3 linked regions of the Arabidopsis thaliana genome follow. The protein of the gene in region 1 interacts with the protein of each later gene in a pairwise test. Each region holds a gene or a part of one and is shown in the gene's direction. Other genes may lie near its edges.

Evidence for each region. Proteins that work in one complex are often made in the same cells at the same time.
Region 2: the proteins of ARF9 (region 1) and AT5G12980 interact in a two-hybrid assay, tested with the Arabidopsis thaliana proteins (one large-scale study listed by BioGRID).
Region 3: the proteins of ARF9 (region 1) and ATAUX2-11 interact in a two-hybrid assay, tested with the Arabidopsis thaliana proteins (one large-scale study listed by BioGRID).

What each region holds. Positions count from the first base shown.
Region 1 is NC_003075.7:12,448,257-12,458,035, forward strand, and holds ARF9 (auxin response factor 9), read left to right. Parts: upstream 1-2,886; 5' UTR 2,887-3,335; coding exon 3,336-3,351; intron 3,352-3,442; coding exon 3,443-3,549; intron 3,550-3,629; coding exon 3,630-3,728; intron 3,729-3,904; coding exon 3,905-3,961; intron 3,962-4,051; coding exon 4,052-4,207; intron 4,208-4,290; coding exon 4,291-4,375; intron 4,376-4,460; coding exon 4,461-4,551; intron 4,552-4,640; coding exon 4,641-4,805; intron 4,806-4,887; coding exon 4,888-5,001; intron 5,002-5,080; coding exon 5,081-5,153; intron 5,154-5,236; coding exon 5,237-5,384; intron 5,385-5,463; coding exon 5,464-5,933; intron 5,934-6,064; coding exon 6,065-6,252; intron 6,253-6,333; coding exon 6,334-6,481; 3' UTR 6,482-7,113; downstream 7,114-9,779. Other genes in the region: CSLG3 (cellulose synthase like G3), read left to right, coding at 8,235-8,876.
Region 2 is NC_003076.8:4,103,811-4,111,973, reverse strand, and holds AT5G12980 (Cell differentiation, Rcd1-like protein), read left to right. Parts: upstream 1-3,741; 5' UTR 3,742-3,834; coding exon 3,835-4,002; intron 4,003-4,443; coding exon 4,444-4,515; intron 4,516-4,690; coding exon 4,691-4,780; intron 4,781-4,902; coding exon 4,903-4,945; intron 4,946-5,178; coding exon 5,179-5,285; intron 5,286-5,509; coding exon 5,510-5,605; intron 5,606-5,818; coding exon 5,819-6,009; intron 6,010-6,092; coding exon 6,093-6,162; intron 6,163-6,313; coding exon 6,314-6,412; 3' UTR 6,413-6,591; downstream 6,592-8,163. Other genes in the region: GSL12 (glucan synthase-like 12), read left to right, coding at 1-778, 858-908, 996-1,181, 1,281-1,529; CLE40 (CLAVATA3/ESR-RELATED 40), read left to right, coding at 2,206-2,299, 2,399-2,445, 2,639-2,740; AT5G12970 (Calcium-dependent lipid-binding (CaLB domain) plant phosphoribosyltransferase family protein), read right to left, coding at 6,673-8,163.
Region 3 is NC_003076.8:17,546,511-17,553,287, forward strand, and holds ATAUX2-11 (AUX/IAA transcriptional regulator family protein), read left to right. Parts: upstream 1-3,668; 5' UTR 3,669-3,954; coding exon 3,955-4,133; intron 4,134-4,225; coding exon 4,226-4,528; intron 4,529-4,617; coding exon 4,618-4,696; 3' UTR 4,697-5,205; downstream 5,206-6,777. Other genes in the region: AT5G43690 (P-loop containing nucleoside triphosphate hydrolases superfamily protein), read left to right, coding at 1-758; AT5G43695 (uncharacterized protein), read left to right, coding at 1,739-1,778, 1,860-2,041; AT5G43710 (Glycosyl hydrolase family 47 protein), read right to left, coding at 5,742-6,029, 6,265-6,469, 6,557-6,627, 6,717-6,777. UniProt on the Arabidopsis thaliana protein: Aux/IAA proteins are short-lived transcriptional factors that function as repressors of early auxin response genes at low auxin concentrations.

The sequences.
Region 1 (9,779 bases):
AACAGAAACGCATTTGGAGAAACTCGCAACGTCTCGTATTTATTTGAAACACACGTTCCACAAAAACATTACCATTAACTCTTGTATCATATATATACATATATATTGTCCTCTCTGTGTGTATAAAACATGTGTATATATATATATATATATATATTAATTATAGCTTGTGATATATACCTAGCTTAAATCAAAGCCAGGATTTGATAGTATAGACCTAAAAAATGTTGTTTACTGATCACTAATCCTCGATATGTAAAATAGTAAATTCAAGAATCAAGAATATCGAACACATGACCTAACAAACTAAAGCAAATTTAAGATGAAAGTTTTTTTCTGAACATATCATATTTTTTTTTTTTAAATGAACATATTCATTGCTTCTAGATTTTTGCTGTCAAATATGAGTAACTTTCTGTGACGTATGTTTTTATACAGAGGTGAAAACAGGGAATACGCCATCAAGAAGCAGGGAATCAGTAACCTACTATTTTAATAGAAGATTCATTACCTTGTTAATCACGAAATTACCTTCTTGCTCATGAATCACCAAGTCAATGTCAATGTTTTTAGAGAAAAAAACACACATACATAATCATCAAGTCAATGTTCTTGCAATAGTTATACCTTTAGTTTCCCCCAAAAAAATATTAGCCAATTAAATCAAACAAGAAAGAAGATATTACTTAAAAATCTCTACAAAACACATGACTACATGAGCGAGTGAATTCGATAAGGGCTTGAAGAAGTGGTATGCCGATTGACTATTGGGTTAAAAATAGATGAACAATTGAGATTCTTAGAATTAGTACCACTAAATTGACTAAAAATCAGTAAATGATTGAACTCATTTGAGACCAAACATGTGGGAGATATATATGGGAATGAATGCTTTCTAAGTGGACACGAAAATTCTATATTACAGTTGAGATTCGTTTGAACAAGCTCTGGGGAATATACGGGGGACAAGATACCAATTTATTACTAAAATAAATACGATTAAAATAGTCTAAATTGAGAAAGAGAAGATCCGGAGATGGTGGTGGTGGGTTTTAAGGCATCTTGCTTATTTATATCCTTAAAGGGAACAGAAATTGTCAAAAATACGTCATACGTGACGTTTTCTGTCATAATTAGTAATATACTAAACATAATTAATTAGAACTAAACGATAAAGTAATTAGTTAATTGGTATATAAATATATGGACTATGGAGTATAGGCTTTTTCATCTTTATATTTTGCTTATTATTTATTAAAAAGTTTGGCATTATTCATTGCCAAATGACTACAGCAAATATACGATTTTGATGCAGAAATTTAAATTTATTGATCATCTAAAGATCGCACTTAGTTTACTATACGAAAATCCATGCACTACACTACTAGTGATGGTACAAATGTTTAGGAAATAAAATTATTATGTTAAATTTTGTATTGAAATAAATATTTGGGAGTTATAATCTTATCATATAAAAAAACTAAAATAAATAACTAACCCAACATATATGTATATCTACATTATAAGGATTTGAATTTATATGGTAAACATAACTATACTAACAAAAATTATTATATTACATATCTTGGTTAAATTAGTAAAATAGATTTATTTAGTGTTTTTCGTTTGTCGCTTGTCATACTTTTTGAGTTCCTTCAATTTGAGTATCATAAGATTTTTAGGAAACTTAATCTTGATGTTATAAGTGATATTAATCGCTTATTTATAACATCTACTTATTTATCCATCATCGATCATTTTTTAACGGTTCAAAAGATTTCACGTATATTAATGTTCAAAATTCTAAAAAAAAAACATTTAATCAAAACATTTTTTTCTAAGTATTTAAGTAATTTTTCCGGATAATATTTGTTTGGCAACGATCAACATATATCATGACTCAAATAAATTTTGATGTTTCTAATTAGTAAAATGTGGAGTTGGAAAAAAGTTCTTGCAAAAGGTGAAAAGAACAAAAATCAGAGATGGAAACACTTCCCACATGCTTATGTTAGTCCCACCATTTAGTGGTAGAAATGTAATTTATCCAAAGAAGGAGGTCAAAGCTGCTTCGTCTCTAATCCAAGTCTAGCCAGTATTGTTGCCTGCATAAGAGCAAACGGTAAAAGTGACGGACTCTTAACGATGACGGGTGTTACTGTTTAATGTCTCTTGATCGACTTTTGTTACCGTAACGACAACGGCACGCGCCCTCACGCTCCGTACCAGCCTTAAAAGCCAACACATTTATGATTTATCCAGTAACTAATACTAATTCCTTCATCCACTAACGCAATTGCATTTAATTGTTTAGTACGTATAGAAAAAAAGTAAAAAGCTATTTATAATTATAACTTACAAAGTCTCTTTCAATTAGTACAGTGTAAAACAACCAATTATTTTCTATATTATACAGTATAAAGGTGTTTATCATAGACCCATTATTTATTTGTTTTTGACTAAAATATCAAAGTGTATTAAAACATAAACCAAATAAATTTGAAATTAAAGTTTTTTTTTTTTTTGTAAAATTAAAACTGATTTTTGGTTTAAATAGAGAAGCAAAGCTACGCTTTTTTTTTTGCTAGCTCTTTTTTTATTTAATCAAACAAAAATTGAGGAAAACAATTATTGTTGTGCTAAGCATTTCTATCATATATTTTTTTATAAACAATACATTTAATTTCAAAATAACTTTCTACTTTCTTCAAATCAAGCTATTTCCTAGAAATTTGGTACTGTCTGGATAACAACATGTCTTAGAAAGTATAGTAAGGAATTTACAATTGGTTATACAATTAATGTATAGCGTATTATTATATACGAAAAGGTGTCCAATTTTAGACATACATATAAAATCAATTTATTAAAAATAAAAGTATTGAAAAAAGAGAGAGTGAAACGGAGATAAAAGCAAACGGAGGTGTTAACTTAAAGACGGGAGAGAAGCGAGTGAGAGATTCTTTCTTGTAACGGCGTTGTTTGACGATTATAGTGACGAAGAGAGACAAAAAAAAAGAGTTTAGTCTTCTTTGTTTGGGAGACGAAGACGATAGAAGCTGGTTTTACGGGAGAGAAATTAGAGAGGTTACAGTTACAGAGCAGGAAGGATTGCGTTGCGTTACGATTCAGATCTCTCTCGATCGTTACTTACATGCATTAGAGAACAAGAAAACGTGGAGACGGAATCCAAGGGACCTTCTTCTTCAATTTAATTCCTCACTTTATTACGCACCCTTCTTTTATTTTCGACTGTTTCAGCTTCCGGTTCTTCATCGGAGAGAGATAGAGAGACTGTGTGTTTTGGTGTGACTGATAGAAGATTTAATCAGCTGATGGCAAATCGCGGAGGTGAGAAATTGACCGGAGTTTTGTTTTTTTCTTCAATTTTCCGGCGACATTACCGGCGAAATTAACCGGTGTACATTGTGTGGTGAAACAGGTGAATATCTGTACGATGAGTTATGGAAATTATGCGCGGGACCTCTTGTTGATGTTCCTCAAGCTCAAGAAAGAGTTTATTATTTTCCTCAAGGTCACATGGAACAAGTAAGCAGCTTCTCTTTTAGATCGGTGAAATTTTGAGAAAGATTTTTTTTAATGAAACATTTCTATTTTTGGTGGTTCAGCTCGAAGCGTCAACGCAACAAGTCGACTTAAATACGATGAAGCCTCTTTTTGTTCTTCCTCCTAAGATTCTCTGCAATGTTATGAACGTTAGTCTTCAGGTATACTTTCCACATTTAGCAAAACCGAATTTATCTGATGATGTGTCGTCCATTAGTTAAAGCAATATATATAGATGGATATTGTAGAAAATCTATGAAGAAGCTGGAAATGATTAGACTAAATATGAGTGGAAGTTCTGGATCTTGTTTGATTTCTTCATTTCTGTTCTTGTCAGGCGGAGAAAGATACGGATGAGGTCTATGCTCAGATTACTTTGATCCCTGTTGGAACTGTGAGTGACACAATTAGATCACTTGATTGTTTTTGTTGTTGCAACTTCCTTAAATTCAATGTTTAGTGGATCTCTAAATGTAAACTGTAGGAAGTTGATGAACCTATGAGTCCTGATCCCTCTCCTCCTGAGTTGCAAAGGCCGAAAGTTCACTCTTTCAGCAAGGTTTTGACAGCGTCTGATACAAGCACCCATGGTGGCTTTTCTGTTCTAAGGAAACATGCCACGGAATGTCTTCCTCCGCTGGTATTAGGACACGCTTACTATTTGTGCTTTGTTTCCCACCAAAATGGCCTTTGATATGAATTTCTTATGTTCTTATCCTTTAGGATATGACTCAGCAAACCCCGACCCAGGAGTTAGTAGCCGAAGATGTGCACGGTTATCAGTGGAAATTCAAGCATATTTTTAGAGGTGGTGAATCCATTTCTTGTTAACTCAGATCAAACTTTATGTATCCATGATAATTGTATAAAATGAATGATAATTCATTAAACAGGCCAACCACGGAGGCATCTATTGACGACAGGGTGGAGCACCTTTGTTACATCAAAGAGATTGGTTGCTGGGGACACCTTTGTATTCCTGAGGTATTATACTTCACGCTGCTACCTTGTTTTGTTTCTTTTGATGGTCCATTGGTAGATTTTGAACTTCCAAGCTATATTATATTTTCCAGAGGGGAGAACGGAGAGTTGCGAGTTGGAGTCAGACGTGCTAATCTTCAACAGAGCAGTATGCCTTCATCCGTTATATCAAGTCATAGTATGCATCTGGGAGTGCTTGCTACTGCACGCCATGCTACTCAAACGAAAACTATGTTCATTGTATACTATAAACCAAGGTAGACAGTTATTACTCTATGGGAATATCTGAGGTGAGTTTTTTCGACATTCTGCTTATCGAATTACTCTCGGTTTGAGCAGGACAAGCCAATTCATCATTAGCTTGAACAAATATCTAGAAGCCATGAGCAATAAGTTCTCTGTAGGGATGAGATTTAAGATGCGTTTTGAGGGAGAGGATTCCCCTGAAAGAAGGTAGTCTGAATTTTTTCTTTGTTATGTATCCTGCACTTTGTCCCCAAAGCTATTCTCACACATCTATTTCTTTACAAAGATATTCTGGCACGGTTATTGGTGTGAAAGACTGCTCCCCTCACTGGAAAGACTCAAAATGGCGATGCTTAGAAGTAAAATTCCTTCCACTTTTACATGTTTTTTAAAGTGTTTATTAAGTGTGAAAACTCAATCAGTTTGCTACATGTTTGTGTAGGTTCATTGGGATGAGCCTGCATCGATTTCAAGACCCAATAAGGTTTCACCATGGGAAATTGAACCGTTTGTAAATTCAGAAAACGTTCCCAAATCAGTTATGCTGAAGAACAAAAGGCCCCGTCAAGTTAGTGAAGTATCTGCACTTGGTGAGGCACAATCTAACCGCCACTGATTTGCTAGTACATAGCTTAAGTTTCCTTGCTAAATCTCACATGCTGTGTTTAGATGTAGGCATAACAGCTTCAAACCTTTGGAGCTCTGTTTTGACGCAACCCCATGAGTTTGCACAATCGTGCATCACCTCACAGTGGAGTTCTCCTCAGCAATGTCATCGTGATGCAAATGAGGATGCTAAGAAATCTGACTGGCTAAATAACTCTTACTCTGTGTCAAATGTAGCAAAAGACTCAACACTGAACGACCAAATGGTTTCCCCAGTCGAGCAGAAGAAGCCTGAGACAACCGCTAATTATAGATTATTTGGAATTGATCTGATGAGTTCCTCCCTAGCGGTTCCTGAGGAGAAAACTGCACCCATGCGACCAATCAACATATCCAAACCGACTATGGACAGCCACTCAGACCCAAAATCAGAGATTTCAAAAGTATCAGAAGAGAAAAAGCAGGAACCTGCGGAGGGATCACCAAAAGAGGTCCAAAGCAAGCAAAGCAGTTCTACAAGAAGCCGTACCAAGGTATATATATGCCTACATGGCTACCGTGAAGTGTATATACATTGTGTAATCTGTGAGTTGCAAAACAGATACACATTATGTATAATGTTTGCGGGACTGAACAGGATCCTGAATTCTTTATCGCTGAACAGGTGCAGATGCAAGGCGTACCTGTGGGCAGGGCTGTGGATTTAAATGCGCTAAAGGGGTACAACGAGCTCATAGATGACATTGAGAAGCTGTTTGACATAAAAGGGGAACTGCGGAGTCGCAATCAATGGGAAATAGTGTTCACAGACGATGAGGGAGATATGATGCTTGTCGGTGATGACCCATGGCCGTAAGTAACTTACTCTTTATCTCTTAGTCAATAGAATCACTACACAAAACTCATATCTGTTGACTTAATTTGGTGGTGCAGTGAGTTCTGCAACATGGTGAAGAGAATATTCATATGGTCGAAAGAGGAAGTGAAGAAAATGACGCCTGGGAACCAACTCCGGATGCTGTTAAGGGAAGTTGAAACAACACTAACAACAACTTCCAAAACAGATAATCATTCCAACTAATTTTTATTCTATTCTCTATCAGTCTTCGTCTCCTTCTTATTTGCTTTGTCTTTCGGAATTATCTTGTTTGTGTCTGTGTTTTGTTGCGCATGGCTTAAACAAGAAACTACATCCCCTGAGGCAAAAAAAATGGCTCGTTTTTTTGGAGCCTCTTATGGAGAAAGGGGGTTTATGGGGAGAGGGTTTTCTACTTTTAAAATAGGCTTTTGGAAGTTTCTTTTTCTTCTAGGAACTTGTGTGTAAGAGAAACAAATATGTAACGAACAGAAAGAAAAAAAAAAAAAAAAAAAAAAAAAGAGAATGAGATTTGTGAATAACTTGATGAAGGACTTTTGGGACTCTGGGATTATAAGAGATTAAAGAGGGATTATACCTCATGGCTCTCGTGTTTTCTGATTCTTTTTCGTAGTTGTGTTTTCTTTGATTTTGTTTTTCATCTAAGTTTTAATGTATATATAAAATTTCAAACATGGCTTTCTTGTATTTGTCAAATCCCCAAAGGTACATATATTATCAATATTTAAAATGTTAAATAAACAAAACTCTAGACCTAAAACTATTTCAGGTTTTCCCACTAACCTTAACAATGATTCAAGATTATTGATGTTTTGTCTGTGAGGACATGTATGTGGCCGCTCTTGCCACCATATTCACAAACGTAATTGTATGAAGTATGGACCACCTTTTCGCTACTACTTCTGGATCCCCTTATGTTTGTAAAGTGTATCATTCCCTTATATCACTATTCACTCACATGCATTAAAATATCGAATGCTGCAAAGGAAAAAAGAGTTATTTTTCTCTTTAGATATCATTTGGGTTATGCATATTACTTGGATTAGTCCAATATGTCGTGTACAACCATTCTCGCTGCAAAACAACTACAATATGTCAACATAGTATAACACATGCTGATCTGGTGAGATTATAAATTGTGAAGTTTGTCTTTATAATATGTACATATAGTATTTCTTTGATTATGACAAGTGTGTAGAAAATGTTAGGATATTATTCTAAATCCCACATACGAAAGATTAGATAATGATTATCCAACATATAAGTTCAATCTAATTTTAATTAGTGTATCATTTGGGGAAAAAAAATCGTGCATATCTGGTTGCTTGGTCCAAATATCTATATTTTCTGACGGTCCAATATTTATATACGTACCACATAAATACACCTATACGAATCTCTTTACTAATACGTCGATACCGTTCATAGTTAATGACGTTATTTACTGCCGAGATAATGAAGTGATGATGTAGGTTATTTATTGCCGAGATTTGTGAAGGCAGTGGATCTCACAATCCCTATCTTTTCCTCTTCTTTTTTTTCTTTTTTTCTTTCCATATATAGAGAAGTTTAAATTTAATTGTACCATTAAAAGCTCACCAAATACCAACTTATACATACAGTCAGTATCTATATCAGGAATTTATATGTATGTGTGTATACCGAATAATAGTAAACTCATTTTACTAATAAATAACTTTGTTTTATTATATATTTGATAAACAACTTGTTATAAATTATTTTAATATGTTAAATTTGAACTTATTAAATTTTAAGTAATATTCTAGTGACGGAAGTATACATTGTATTTAAATTGCATAGATGTAATTACTTATTTTAAAAACTTATAGCACTATTCAGTGATTTACTTTTCCAACCTAAAATCGAGGTGTAGAATGTCTACTCTGGAAAAAAAAATCGCCTATAAAATATCAATATCAATGGTGAGTTTTGTTCTATGTACCAAGTTTCTCTAAAACAATTTGTCTTTCTATTAAAAATAAAGAGTACCACGATGGAGCCTCACAGAAAACACTCGGTCGGCGACACAACCCTCCACACGTGTCATCCTTGCCGGCGCACCATTCCATATAGAATCTACGCCGTATTTCACACGTGTGGCATCATAGCCCTCATGTATCACCATGTACACTCACTTCTCACAGCAAACACAACTCTAATCACGTCTCTCCTTCTCCTCTCCGATATTGTTCTCGCCTTCATGTGGGCAACCACAACTTCCCTCCGGTATAAACCGGTTCGCCGGACCGAGTACCCTGAGAAATATGCAGCTGAACCGGAGGACTTCCCGAAACTGGACGTGTTTATATGCACGGCTGATCCGTACAAGGAGCCTCCGATGATGGTGGTCAACACTGCCTTATCGGTGATGGCTTACGAGTATCCGTCCGATAAGATCTCAGTCTACGTATCGGACGATGGAGGTTCGTCGTTGACTTTGTTTGCTCTTATGGAGGCAGCTAAGTTCTCTAAGCATTGGTTGCCTTTTTGCAAGAAGAATAATGTTCAAGATCGGTCTCCTGAAGTTTATTTCTCATCAAAGTTACGTTCTCGGAGTGATGAAGCTGAAAATATCAAGGTGCGTATTATTCTACTAATCACTTATAATTAGGAATGTTTTTTTTTTTATCGAATGTTAAAATTGTCATTCATTTTGGTTACGTTGAATAGTGGGGAATAACATGTTTAATAAAAAAATTTGGACAAAAAAACATTTATATTTTTCGTGGAAGGAGTAATTAATAATGACAAATAAAAAATAAAATGAGTACAAAACTACAAACAGAAAAAATAATTATTTGCTAAATCAATGGGGAGCGATTGTTGTGTTGAAGAAGTCACTTCAGAACCTTATCGTATCTCTTTTCGACGATAGTGGCAATCTTGTTCTTTTATGACCTAATACTTTGGAAGACTGTGACTCGTCGTAGTGACCTACAACAATTTCTCCCAAAAATATATACGACTATAGGAGTATTAGTAATCTAAATGATAGAAGTTTTTCTTTGTTTGAATTTTCAGTTATCCATGATTGCGCATAAGTAAAGTAAACTTGAATTGGATATTTCCTGCCCACCATTACTGTAAGCATTTCCTTGATATATCATCAATTATGAATTAAATATTAAACAGTAATTTTAAAGTTGAACCTCTAAAACAAAATGGAAAGACTTGTTCAGAAAAAAAAAAGATATTTTATGGCAAAACTGGTTGACATATCCATAGAAAATGGAGAGACTGACCAAATATTGTCAATTTCAATAAAATATCTCTATGATAAAAAGGACAAATTGGTCGTCTAAAAAAATAGTAAAAGTAAAAAGTGTATGAGAACTCAATAGTACACTAAAATTTAGTAATACTTCTATGTTATTATTACATGTAGTAAACAAAGTTGTCACAAGTAGTAAGATATTTTCAACCAGTGTTATAAATAAATCGTAATAAACTATACAAGAGAGCTGTCAAAAAAAAAAAACTA
Region 2 (8,163 bases), on another chromosome or scaffold:
CATCTTCCTTTATGGACGTCTCTATCTTGTTTTGAGTGGGCTCGAACAAGGTTTAAGTACGCAGAAAGGCATCCGAGACAATACACCTTTGCAAATAGCTCTGGCTTCACAGTCTTTTGTCCAGATTGGTTTCCTGATGGCTTTACCTATGCTTATGGAAATTGGATTAGAGAGGGGTTTTAGGACTGCCTTGAGTGAATTTGTGCTGATGCAGCTTCAGTTGGCGCCAGTGTTCTTTACGTTCTCTCTTGGGACAAAGACTCACTACTATGGGAGGACGTTACTTCATGGCGGTGCCAAGTACAGGTCCACAGGAAGAGGATTTGTCGTCTTTCATGCCAAATTTGCTGATAATTACAGACTGTATTCCCGGAGCCATTTTGTGAAGGGACTTGAAATGATGCTGCTACTCGTTGTGTATCAAATATTTGGTAGTGCTTACAGAGGCGTCCTTGCATATCTTTTGATCACCATATCTATGTGGTTCATGGTCGGGACCTGGCTTTTTGCTCCCTTCCTCTTCAATCCTTCTGGTTTTGAATGGCAGAAGATTGTTGATGATTGGACTGATTGGAATAAATGGATAAACAACATCGGGGGTATTGGTGTTCCGGCAGAAAAAAGTTGGGAATCGTGGTGGGAGGAAGAGCAAGAACATCTCCGGTATTCCGGAAAACGTGGTATAGTTGTTGAGATTTTGCTAGCACTGCGGTTCTTTATCTATCAATATGGGCTTGTTTATCATCTCACTATAACAGAGAAGACTAAAAACTTTCTGGTATGTAACATTTCTATTAGCTCTTGATGTTGGTATTTTCTTATCCAATCACTAAATCTAAAATCCCTTGTCAACTCAGGTTTATGGAGTATCATGGCTGGTGATTTTCTTGATATTGTTTGTGATGAAGGTGGGTTTACTTGATACATCAATCTCTTTTTAATTCCCCAGAACGTCATGGTCAATAACCAAGTTTTTTGTTGTTTGTTTGTCTCAGACTGTTTCGGTTGGAAGGCGGAGATTCAGCGCGAGTTTTCAGCTGATGTTCCGGTTGATAAAGGGGCTGATATTCATGACGTTTATCGCAATTATTGTGATATTGATCACACTGGCTCACATGACGATACAAGACATAATTGTGTGTATCCTTGCCTTTATGCCCACAGGTTGGGGGATGCTCTTGGTAAGTAAAAAAAAAAGCTTTTCACTGGAGTCCTATTAAAATGGAAATGTTGTGCGTGTGTGGATAAAAACAAGACTAACACTTGGTGTGTGTTTGCAGATTGCGCAAGCGTGTAAGCCGGTGGTTCATAGAGCAGGATTCTGGGGATCAGTGAGGACCCTAGCTCGTGGATACGAGATAGTAATGGGACTGTTGCTGTTCACGCCAGTGGCGTTCTTGGCATGGTTTCCATTTGTGTCAGAGTTCCAAACGCGTATGCTCTTTAATCAAGCTTTCAGTAGAGGTCTTCAGATCTCTCGTATCCTTGGAGGTCATCGTAAGGATCGCTCTTCTCGAAACAAGGAATGATTCATCTCTTCATTGTAATGACAGGGAAGGGATCTTAATTTATCCCTTTTTTATCTTCATGGATGATTAGGGTTAATGTAATTTAGTTTTCAATATATCGCTTAGGTAAAAACATTGTAGTATTCATCTATAAATTAGACGTTATCTATCATTTAATGACTGTTTAATTATTTAGTTGAAGACCTCCATTGGTCCATGTCGAGGAAGATAAGGAACTTACTAACAACTTTTGCTTGGCCTATAAGATACAGCGACAACAAAGCTTTCAAAAATTCCCTAGTTACCAACTGGGTTCATTAATGGGCCGATAAGGAAAGCCCACGATCTTCTAAGAAGGATTAGCCCTAGTTTCCTCTGCTTCGTTGAAAGACAACTTAAAAAATGGCGGGAAGTTGTGACAATGTTTGGTTCGACAAATAAGCGGAGACGTGGCGGCGATACGTGGCACCACGACATTTGTACGAGAATGATAATTTGTCTTGGTTCGAGCCAGCCTGTAAACGGTAATCTGTGTCCGTACAGCTTAAATCTCATCCCAAAAAGAACAACCAAAATGACGGATTTGGCCCCAACAAAGCTGTAAAACGAGGTTAAAACCCGGAACTTTCACCTTATTAGACGACGACACACCTCTCGTCACTCTTGTCGAGACTCTTACCACAAAGAGGTTTTTGAAATGGCGGCGATGAAATACAAAGGAAGCGTTTTTATCATATTAGTCATCCTTCTTCTTTCGTCCTCACTACTTGCTCACTCTTCTTCTACAAAATGTAAGTGTCATGTGATATGTTTAATAATATTCTCATCTTTATTCATCGTTTGGGTTCAAAACATGATGAATCAATCCTCTTTGTTCTTTTTGTTTCTAGCCTTCTTTTGGTTAGGAGAAACACAAGATACGAAAGCCATGAAAAAGGTAAGAAAATCTCTTCCTAGAAACACAACGCGACTGTTTTGAAGGAAATGAACAATTCGTTTCTTATTTTTACAATAAAAAGTATGAAACTTTTTGTTTTCTAGCTAGCTCTTTGCATTTGATATTCGTTTGTATTTTTCTATATGATTTTGATGCAAAGATGATTAATTTTTTGTTTTGGTACTGAAAACAGGAGAAGAAGATTGATGGAGGAACAGCTAATGAAGTTGAAGAAAGACAAGTTCCAACTGGATCCGACCCTCTTCATCATAAACACATTCCTTTTACTCCATAGATTCATTCCTTATATCTTTTTTCTGTATCTTCTGTTTCCCATTGTTGACATATTAGTTTGTAATGCTTTTCACATTCTAGTTTTGAGTTTTGTTTATCCGAATGTTAAATTTCTATTTCAGGTTGAAAATGATTAACTTCGTTATTTACTATAGAGTATTTCAATTACTTCAGCCAAGATTTTGTGGATGCTTTGGAAAGATGCCAAAGCGTAACAACTTCCAATTCAATTTTTGTGATGAGTTAGTTCTCAAGATGAAGTCGGAAGCATTCGTGACATCAATTGTATATATAAATTTTGGGTTTAGAGTGTTTTAAGTTGGTATCAAATCACAATTAATTATTCTGTGACATTTGTTTCTAGAAGAAACTTGGGAAAACCGATCTTTTGGATGTGAAGTGGTAGATTGGTTGTCTAAGGTTTTGTACTAGAATTTTGTCTGATTTTAGTTTTAAAACGGTAAGATATATTTTCTTTATAAGGACAATATGGTGTATCTAGTTCTAATTTTGTGACTGTATATAGATTTGTTGATGCTAGATTGTTTGTCAATAAAATTATTGCATTGACCTTAATTAGTTTCGGTAGCCAATCGACCACTACTTGTTGAGTTTTGGAGCCACATATTCCCCTTGCATGTTACACCGAGTGACACGACAAATTCATGTTAAACAAAAATAAAAGGATATACGGTTAAACTATTTATTGTACCGCAATAAATAAAGATATTAAATCAGTTTATTTTGGCGCCACAAACAAAGTAGATATAGTGTGTGTTTTTTTGGCTTGTTGATATCAAAATACCTATGTTTTTTTATTGTCTTCTACATTAGCTAAGTCATAATGTGAATCATGTAAATCTTATAATCTATCTTTCAGAATCTTAAGTTGTGTGAGGCACGGGAGAGTCACGTGAGAGTTTTTTTTTTTTTTTCACAAGTCACGTGAGATTTAGATTTGAACAAATCCCGTAACGGAGCAAGCGAGGCACGTGACATACACGCCCCCCTTAGGTCCTATAAATACATCTCCTCCTTTCACTGTCACAAGTAGCGATTCTCTCTGCGGCGCGTGTAAACGGTGACGGGGCTCTAATGGCTAATCTTCCTCCTCCGCTCTCCATGAAATCTGTCGCCCTCTCAGGAGCTTCTTCTCCTTCTTCTTCCTCCAACAACGATCGGAAGCTATCATCGGCGGAGCAGTTAATTCTCGATCTCAGCAATCCCGAACTCAGAGAAAATGCACTTCACGAGTTGTCTAAGGTCATCTCTCTCTCACCGAATTCTCTTACTCGCGAATTTTTGATCGTTTGGGTTTTCGTTTTCTGCGTTCTATTGAATGGAATTTCGAATGTATTTGGTTGTTTAGTCCGGTGAATCGTAGACATGCTTTTAGATTACCGACTCCTAATTCTTCCTTGCCGCAAATTTTGAGGGAATTTGTACGATTATTGTTGAGATTGTAAACCTGCATGAATAGGGGATGAAATTAAATAATCGAAATAGTTCAACACTGATTAAGGCGTTGATCTCGATTGGTGAGCAATTTAAGTTGGTATGAGGATTCTTCACTGAAGTTAAACGTCTGGACAATTAAAAAATCAAATGGTTTTGATGTTTACTGTACTCATTGCTTTTGATTTCATACATTAAGAAGTTCTTCTCACTGAAATTCATGTCTAATCCCGTGTTTCATTATTTCAGAAGAGAGAGATCTTTCAAGATTTGGCTCCGCTTTTATGGCATTCTGTTGGTACCATTCCTGCTCTTCTACAGGTACCCTCTCCTCCATGTTATTATATGGCACTTGTTCCTTTATTCTTCAGGGGAATTTATTTATTGATTTCTGGCTTCTCTATATACTGTTATAGTTTTAGCATTTTAACTTTTGAGATTTGATGTACATTGTATTGGTTAAGATCTAGTCATTTTCTTTCTTTCCTCTTTTCAGGAGATTATCGCAGTTTACCCTGCCCTATCTCCTCCAACCATGACTCCTGCTCAATCTAACAGGGTGTGCAATGCACTTGCTCTTCTTCAGGTGCATAAAATATTGTCAGTTTCCTCTTTCTTTTTTAGGGAGACTTACAAACGTTTATATATGTATGTTCAATTTGGAAGACTCTATTTTTTATTGATTCGACTCTTTTTTCGTACATCCAGTGTGTTGCTTCTCATACTGATACGAGAATGTTGTTCCTAAAAGGTACAGTCCTGTGCCCGAACAATTCTTCCTTAGTTCTCATTCAAATAATTTCGGTGTTTGCTCTGTGACTAAAGTTATAGAGATAGATTGCATTAGTTGAATACCCAACCCGTCTACCAAAACTAGTTTTAAGAGCCACCTTGTTGGTCTCTTTCTGATTGATCTCATTTATTAGATGTGTGTTTGGCTATAATATGCTTAAAGTTTAAAGTCTGTTGCTTTTCAAAATACAGCCCATCTGCCATTGTACCTGTATGCTTTCTTGAATACATCAAGCAAATCAAGACCGTTTGAGTACCTGCGGCTGACTAGCTTGGGGGTTATTGGTGCACTTGTTAAGGTATGTATTGATATTTGAGTTTTGTTTCCTCGTCTAGTTATTTAGTATGTTTATGCCAAAAAGGCAGGAACACTTCTTTTACATGCTAACAACTGTTTGGCTGTAAATAAATATTTTGGTGATTTGAGAAACAACGATTTTAGCATGCTAAGACCTTTGAGTAGATCCTGTTAAGACATCATTAGTGATATTGGTCTTGCAACATCGTTCATTTGGTTTGGTAGGTTGATGATACTGAAGTGATCAGATTCCTTCTTCAAACTGAGATTGTCCCATTGTGCCTCCGGACAATGGAGAATGGCAGCGAGTTATCAAAGACTGTAAGTTTGTCTATCTTCAGATGCTTCTCTTTAGATTCACATGCTTGAAAAATGTATATCAAGTTTCCTATCATTTATACAGCCAGTTGCAAATATCTGAAATCTTTGCTTCATACAAAGAACTTGTATAAGTTTTCTTCTGCAATTGATGTTTCTGATTGGTTTTGGTCATGTACAGTTCATCTGATTGATTTATTTGAACGGTTATGTCAGGTTGCTACTTTCATTGTTCAGAAAGTTTTGCTGGACGATGTTGGGCTTGAGTACATGTGCACGACAGCGGAGAGATTCTTTGCTCTGGGTCGGGTTTTGGGAAATATGGTTACTTCACTTGCAGAAGGACCGTCCGCTAGGCTACTAAAGCACATCATACGCTGCTATCTTCGCTTGACAGATAACCCCAGGTGCAATAATTATCCATTTTCCTTCATTTGAAAACCATATTATACACTCGTGCTTACACAATACAGTTACTGATGACATTCAGAGCATGCGATGCACTTGGAAGTTGCCTTCCAGATCTTCTGAGGGATGCTACTTTCAGTGGTTGTCTCTATGTAAGTGTCATATCTCTTGATAGCATCATAACCAATTATTAGTGATTCTGATACCAAATTGTTATCTATCAGTTTATTGTTATCACGACTCAATTCTTTTGATACTTGAGACTTGACTGTTTTTAGCTAATCGTCTCACTTAATTTGGCAGGATGACCCACCTGCAATGCAATGGCTGCAGCAACTGCTCCACAACGTTAACGTTGGCGGGAGAGCACCTCAAGGGTTGGCTCATATGTTTGTGAATTAAATCGAACCCTTATAGTCTGGGCAGAAACTGTTATTCATTGGACAAAAAAAGTTAGTTGGAAACAGAATTACAGATGAGAAACAGAAACCCAACCAAAGATTTTGAGTTTGATGGATATATGTATTTGGATTTCTTGACCGTCTTATGATGTTGCAATCAATATAACTAAAATTCCATTGAAAAGACCGAATTAAGCATTAAACCCAAAGTTTTTTTAAATCCAACAAACGTTTTACAAAAGCTGATGCAGATAAATTTATCTATAATAGACTGTCAGATCTTGCAGGTAGCCTCCTGAAGAGATTGAGCGGCACAGAGGGTAGCTTGTGCCTGAACCTTGGATGCCTCAGCACATAGATCCCAGCAAGAAGTGCAACAACCTGAAACGGCGTAACATACAACACGATAGCAGCTATGAGACAGAAAAGCACAAACAATGTGGTTGCCCTCGGGTCTCTCCAGCTCAGCAGCGATAAAAACCGCTCTCCCTGTGTTGCTAGATCGCCTATCACGGTCTGAACCCGTCCTCCTATGCTTCTGAGCCGGTCATATCGCATCCGCACAATCTCAGAGGATCGGGAAGTCGGGAAAGTATCAAACTCTTCATCAAGCTCGTCGGGGTGAACAGCGTCTGCATGGGACAACCGTGTGTCCATGTGTGGCGGGTGCCTTGGTCTCCACCGGAAATTCCAGATCCCAATCAAGAAAAGGTACAAGAAAACCGTTGGGAGGATTAATTCCGGGTAAAGAACTAAGATAATGAAAAGAACATGAATGAGAATTGTGGTTATTGGGTTTCTCCAGTTGCAGATCTGATCAAACCATTTTCCAACAGCAATGAGACCACTCAGAACATTCATGATTCTGAAGAAGTTAGCTTTACTCCTCCTCATGCTCCACATATGGGAGTCAACATCGAGCATGTACTCCACAATCTCTTTGCGAAGAGGCGGCTCTGCGCGGTTCAGCCTTGCCGAGACAATGTTCATCGCCTGGTGTCTCAGGCTGTCCAGCTGGAGAACCGATAACGGATGGATGTAATGCATTTTGGGTAGTAATGGCTGAGAATACATATGAAGCATGTTGATGAGAGATAGGCAAGTGAACCGCACAGCTAACTGTATTTCACCTGTCTTCTTGATCCCAGAAGGATGAAAGACGAGTAGCGGATATGAATGAGTGTAGATACGGTCAGCTTCAAGGGTAGAGAGCCGGATTCTCACTTTCCCGATTCTCAAGTCTTTTCCGCTTCCGCCTGGAATGTGTCCGTTGTCGAATGCTCCAAAAGTTATGACAGTGCAGGTGTCAAACACTTCCCATGTGTACTGCTCATTCCATTTAGGCGTAAAACTATCCACGATTGTTCTTGTTCTAATCCATTTCTGCCCATACTTAGCCACGCAATATGCATCTGTTGTCCCCTTCCCGTCTTTTGACTTCATTGGCATCAGCCCGTGTGCACTTATGATCCCTACTTCAAGCAGTCCGATACTCGGTTTCCATAGCTGTTTTGCGGTTGGCCTTAGGTCGCTGCTGTAGTGAGTTGATTCATCAAGAACATGGTACCCACCTTCAAGAAAGATTCTTAGATGAATTCTGCTTGCGAATTTGATCTCTTTTTGCTCTCCTTCCACCATAATATGTTTCTCCAGGTTGAACCACCTCGAGTTAAGCGGCCTATGGTCTAACCTTCTTTGGACGTTCTGCAACGGGATTGCACACCGGCCTAACGTTTCATCTTTATTCGGTGC
Region 3 (6,777 bases), on another chromosome or scaffold:
TCAAGGCACTCTCAGTCGCAATCGTGGAGAGATCTAAACAGCCTTTTGATGATGATCCCCTCACACATCCTTTGCTATCCGATAATCCTCATGGCATAGTACCGTTCTTTGAGTTCGATATGTATCTCAAAACCTCAACACCGGACTTAACCAAGTTCTCAACATCATCCCCGAGGCTGTTTTCGACTCACATGCCTTTACACACCTTCAAAGAGGGCCTCAAGGGTTCTCCATGCAAGGTTGTGTATATGTGCAGGAACATAAAGGATGTTTTGATATCGGATTGGCATTTCAGGTCCAAGTATAGCAACAATGAAGTATCTAGAAGCACTCTTGAGTCAATGTTCGAGTCATTCTGTGGCGGAGTTAGCTTCTATGGTCCGTTTTGGGACCATGCTCTAAGCTATTGGAGAGGCAGCTTGGAAAACCCCAAGCATGTCCTTTTCATGAGGTACGAGGAAATGAAAACAGAGCCGTGTGTCCAGGTCAAGAGGCTTGCCGAGTTTTTGGGGTTTCCTTTCACTAAGGAAGAAGAAGATAGTGGTTCGATTAGCAAACTCTTGGAACTATGCTCTCTTGGTAATCTGAGCGGTTTGGAGGTTAACAAAACCGGAAAAACATGGATGAACTATGACTACAAAAGCTATTTCCGCAAAGGAGAAGTTGGTGACTGGAAGAATCATCTAACTCCCGAAATGGAGAACAAAATCGACATGATCATCGAGGAGAAATTAAAAGGTTCGGACTTGAAGTTCTAGATTCGTGTTCTTTGTGGTTTGTAGCTTTTCACATATGCATTATAATAAAACTACCTTCTGTTTCTTATGTTCCTTTGATTTATGAGTATTGACTGTCTTTCAATAAAATAATGCATAGTGATTGGCCCAAAAATCAAAAGTGTGAATTTGACACAACTCCATGTATATTCATAATACAACTATTTCAAGATATGATGATTGCCCGAGTAAATACCGATACACCTAACCGTAAAGGCACAATAAAATGTGTGGTATAATAGATTATTACTACTAACAAAAAAGTTATAGTATAACTTTATTATTTTAACAGCTCATTTATTTTACATAATTCGTTTTTTGTTTATTCATTTTTTTATGATTATAAGTAACAAAAATATGCACTAAATGAATGTTTAAATTTATTTTAACATAAAATAAATAGTGTTGCTTATATGGATGCTTAGATGGACACCCTAAATGGAGAGAGGACTCTCCTATTATATATATACAGGTTAAACATTATGCAATGAAACCAAAGTTTTTCATTTCAAATCGAACCCAAAGTCTTGCCACAATTCAAATAAAAACTACAATATAGAATATGGATTGATGATTGTTATTTGCTTCCATATTTCAAAACTATATGATCTATCTCTTGTAACTCTTAAACTGTTTGTTTTCTAGTTTGCACTCTAGAATTGGTCTTATATTGTTAGTTTGTTACCGACTTTTTGTAGAATATCAGTTATACTAGTCTCATGTATATTTACAAAATTTTGTAATAAATTCATATAATTTTACTTAGTCAATAACTGGACTTTTTCCTTGTAATTTGATAAGTATTTATTTGGCTGGTAACAAAAACAAAATAATTAGTAATTTACAGTAGATCCCTTTATATAACTATTGTATCTAGAAATAGTTGTACTTCTACGTATTGGGGAGTACCCCGAGTTTTGTGTAACAACTTCCGCTATATATTGTAAAGTAAAAAAATACCAATGAAGTTTGCTTTCCTTATCTGCCTAATTGTTACATCAGGTAAAATTTATATTTCACGTGTGAAGCAAATAACAAAAATCTATATACAAAATTTGTTATTTATAGTTTCTGATTTTGTAGTGATGAGTATCGTTACTGTTCGAAATGTTGAGGCGAAAAGGTTATTACTTGAAGAAATTCCTCAGTTGCATCATGAAGGTTCGCCGCAGGTAGTGAAATTACTGGATGATGACTGCATGGATGGATGTCATATGAAATGTATTCCTAACAACAGAATTACTCCTTGTTTATGTCTATGTTAATTTTCCGTTTTCTTTTTTGAATAAGATATGTTTTCACTAATAATAAAACTTTGTTGCATAGTCCATACAAAAAATATTGAACATTATGTAAAAAAATTCAAAAAAGATAGTTAAGAACAAATTCAACATGGAAGAGGTGATGCCTAATTTTTCATCAAACCAGCCACCATTAGAATAATCACTAGGATGATATAAAAGCATATATATTGCCCACCAACTATAACTTATGAAGCTGTATATGTATGATCATGTGTGTAGCTGTTTTATATCATTTATTGGATCCAACGGTGGATCAATCCAACATAGAGTCCAAAAGAACCGGAACCGGAGAGAATGCCATGAACCGGTTTGTTGTTAGATACGTCTCATTTTCAGTATTTGATTTCTAGCTAAATAAGCTAGTCATGAACTTAAATCTCTAACGCCAACCATGCAATGAAACCAACTTTTCACATTTCAAATCGAACCCAAAGTCTTGTCGTCTACCGTGTAACAATAAATACCAAACTCACTACCTTTAAAATTCTCCTTTTTGAGACCAATTCGGATAAAACCAACAATCTCCTAAATGTTCACTTCCCAAATGTCGTAATCCATAAATCATACTCAAGAAGAAGGATTTAGACTATTAGGAGGTCATGTGCCAAAAATAACATAATACTAATGATAAATTAATCACAAATATTTAAGCACCATTTAGAATCATCAATCACAGTGGATTAGTGTTGGATTTGATTCTATTGAAATCCATGACTGAATAATACCCCTTAATGTGTAACGATTCAAAACTTTTTCTACAGAAAAAAAAAATTTGAAATCGAGACTAAACAAACTTAGGATAAAAAAATAGTCTTGAACATAGGTTTTCAAATTTGGTCCTCCAAAGAGATTAGGTTAGGTTTGGTTTACATTGGTTCACTAAAGCATGACAAGTACATAAACTGCCTTGCTGTAGTAACATGAAAACAAAGTCAGAGAGAAATCAAAACCCAAAACGATAAGACCCCATAGATAATGAACTGTCTAAAGACAAAACCTTTTGGCAAGATTTCTTGTCAGTTTGTTCCTGGATTCATATATATAAAGATCATTAGAAGTTTCATAGAGACAGAGAGACAAATTAAGTTGGGACTTTCATGAAAACTAGTAAAGAAAAACAAATAGTATAATTTTAACTCAAATACTATTTGTTTTTCTTTACTAATACTCTCGAAAGTCCCAACTCAAATACTAGTTGGACACACATGAAGCTACCAATCAGACCCAATGAAACTCAAAATCTTATCCTCCAAACACAGAAAAAAAGACTATGAATATGTTTGACTTTAGACAGCTAGAGTTTCAACTCAATTGACTAGGATGATCTAATCCTGATATCACATGAACCACAAATAGATGAAAGAGTAAGTTCTTGGCTTTAAGAGAGAGAGAGAGAGGTGACAAATGCATATGGCAGACCACAGTACATGTAATGCTTACCCTACAATAACTCAATGCTTGAACAAAAGAGAAAGGTTTTTTATATTCTGCACATGAGTGTACCATACTCTACCCCACTTCCTTGAATTAGGGCTACAGAGAAATGAATCTAGACCGTCCTCTAAAATCAAAGAAAGTATCTTTCTTTGTGTTGAAGATGAAAGTGTCCCACAAATGTCCCCAAAATGATGGGACACACTTTGCCTCAAAGTTGCTGCTACTGTTTACTACCCGACAGCTTTAGCTTTTGCCTTTGTCCTTAAATCAAGTTAATCCCATTTTTTCTAAATTACCAAAAAAGTGACTTTTCAATTCCTATAAAACAATCTTCTTCACAAAGCCTCTTATCTCATCAACAAGTCTTTCTCTCTCTCTAGACAACCACAAGAACACAAAACACACAAAAACAAAGAGGTTCTTTCTTTGAAGAAGAAATGGAAAAAGTTGATGTTTATGATGAGCTTGTTAACCTAAAGGCAACAGAGCTGAGATTGGGATTACCAGGGACAGAAGAAACTGTTTCTTGTGGAAAAAGCAACAAAAGAGTTTTACCTGAAGCTACTGAGAAAGAGATTGAATCCACTGGAAAAACTGAAACCGCTTCTCCTCCAAAGTAAGTGTTTGAATCAAATACAACTTCTCTGAAAATGTGTGTTGAGTTGTGAATCTGATCTAATCTAATCTATGCTATTTCTTGTTTTATAGGGCTCAGATTGTTGGATGGCCACCAGTTAGATCTTACAGAAAGAACAATGTTCAGACAAAGAAGAGTGAATCTGAAGGTCAAGGAAACTATGTGAAAGTAAGTATGGATGGTGCTCCATATCTAAGGAAGATAGATCTAACGATGTATAAACAATATCCAGAGTTGATGAAATCACTTGAAAACATGTTTAAATTCTCTGTGGGAGAATATTTTGAGAGAGAAGGATATAAAGGCTCAGACTTTGTACCTACTTATGAAGACAAAGATGGTGATTGGATGCTTGTTGGTGATGTTCCTTGGGAGTAAGTACAAATTTTCATTTATCTCTCAAATTAGTTAACTTATGACACAATCTTGTTTATGTATTTATGGTGTTTTGTTGTTATTGCAGGATGTTTGTTTCGTCTTGTAAGAGGCTAAGGATCATGAAAGGATCTGAAGTTAAAGGTTTAGGTTGTGGTGGTCTTTAACAAACCTAATTGAGAGATAAAGATCAAAGAGAAAGATTCAAAAACAGAGTTTTTTGTTCTGTTTCTTGAAACAGAGTAAATATAGCTCTGAAACTGCTCGGGTTCTTGGGGAGAGATGTTTCATACAATCATACTTTGTGAATGTTTACCTCATCGGTAAAAAGAGAGATGCTTAAAATGGTCTTAAGCATAAAAGTGTGAGAAAGATCTAAATCTAAACTTTAGCTGTAACTCTGTCTCCATTAAAGAGAAAGGTTTTGTGGTATTAGAAAGATCTAATCTGAAGATTATCTTTGTGTTTTTCACTTTTTATAATGTTCTTATCGAACAACTTTGATGTTTTTGATGTAATTACCCATTTTTCTGTTCTGTTTCTCTTCAAATTAAGATCTGTCTTTACAAAACTGTAACACAGAACATTAAACCTAACTTGTAGATGAACACAACGAAGACAAATCATTAAACCAAAGCTGCTTTATGGTAAAAATAATAATCCCAGCTTCTAAACATATATCATTGGATTCTAGTTTCTTTAAACTTAGATTATACATGTTTAGTCACCAAGATTAAAGAAATAAGAAATCTAATCGAGCAGTGAGAATATTTTTGGGGCTTTGGAAATGTTTATATTATCTTTTGTTGTTACCAACTGTGACTTTGGTCCCCCATACCTTAAACAAGTAAATCTACCCAACTGTGCTAATTTGTCTCCACTATCACTTATAATAATCTATGAACCTTGGAACTAGAGTAATATTTTAAAATGGTATAGATAGGTTCATTGAATTTAGGTTTTTCCTTTGTGCACCAACAATTTTTACATTCATACCTAATGTTCTTGATGCAAGATGATTATTAAGTCAAGAATTTTACCAAATACTTAAACCTAGTTGTCTCGATGATGATGATGATGATTATGATGAGACAACAATCGATCAACAAAAGAAGGATTCAAGATTCTTGATGAGATTGGAAAACTGAATCTATATTTCTAACAAAAGTTTTTGTAATCTTCTTCTGTGGAACATATATATAAATGAGAGATTTAAGAAGAGTATGATCTTTGATCATCAGTTTCTGACTCTAACAAGGTTAGCTCTTGACCTGTTTGGTCGTTGCTACTACCACCAGAGATTGTCATTATTGGTTCAGACTGAGAAGTAAATCCTTCTTCTTCCTGTGGTCTCTTCTCCACTGTTTGATCCGAGATTAACACAATTGAACTGCTTGTAACTACCGGTTTAGGTTGATTAACATCTTCACGATCTGTCTTCTCCGGTAGAACATACGAAAAACCATATTTCTGAGCATGTGTTAGTCCTGGACATAAACCCTACAAAAACCCCAAAACAAAAGAAACTGACTTTGATGAAAGAAAGAAATATTTTTATTTCTGGTACTGGCCTTTATCAAACCGGTAACTGGAAAAGATTCGTGGTAAGGAATCCGAAAGAAAGAAAGAAACATTTTTATTTCTGGTACTGACCTTTATCAAACCGGTAACTGGAAAAGATTCGTGGTAAGGAATCCGAAAGAAAGAAAGAAACATTTTTATTTCTGGTACTGACCTTTATCAAACCGGTAACTGGAAAAGATTCGTGGTAAGGATAATCGTTACTGTGATCATCGTTACTACTGTCTTCTCCAAGGACTTCTTGTTCTAGTTTTGTGGAATTGCTTGGACAGTATCCACCAAAGTAAGAGCAATGTTCCCGAGCTAGAGATATTTGTGGTGTTATTGGTAAGAGATGACCCTCAGTACTGAAGATGTACCTGAAGATTAAGTAAAATTATCAAGATTAGTGAATTGTTGTGGTGTTTGTGAAAATCAAGAGGTTAATGTGGAGGAGATATTTATACTTGTAAGGGCCATTGTCTACGAGGTTATCCGAGTCAACAGCTAAGTCAAAGAGTAGCCATAAGTACTTCACCTGAAATATTTTTGAAACAAAAACAAGTCAAGGCTTTAAGGTAAGCAAGTAAATGCATATTGAGAAACAGAGCTTTTCATGTATTTTACCGTTTCTGCGAGGAAGAAGCTCTCCATGTGATCTTCTTGTTTATGCAGTTCTACATCTGTG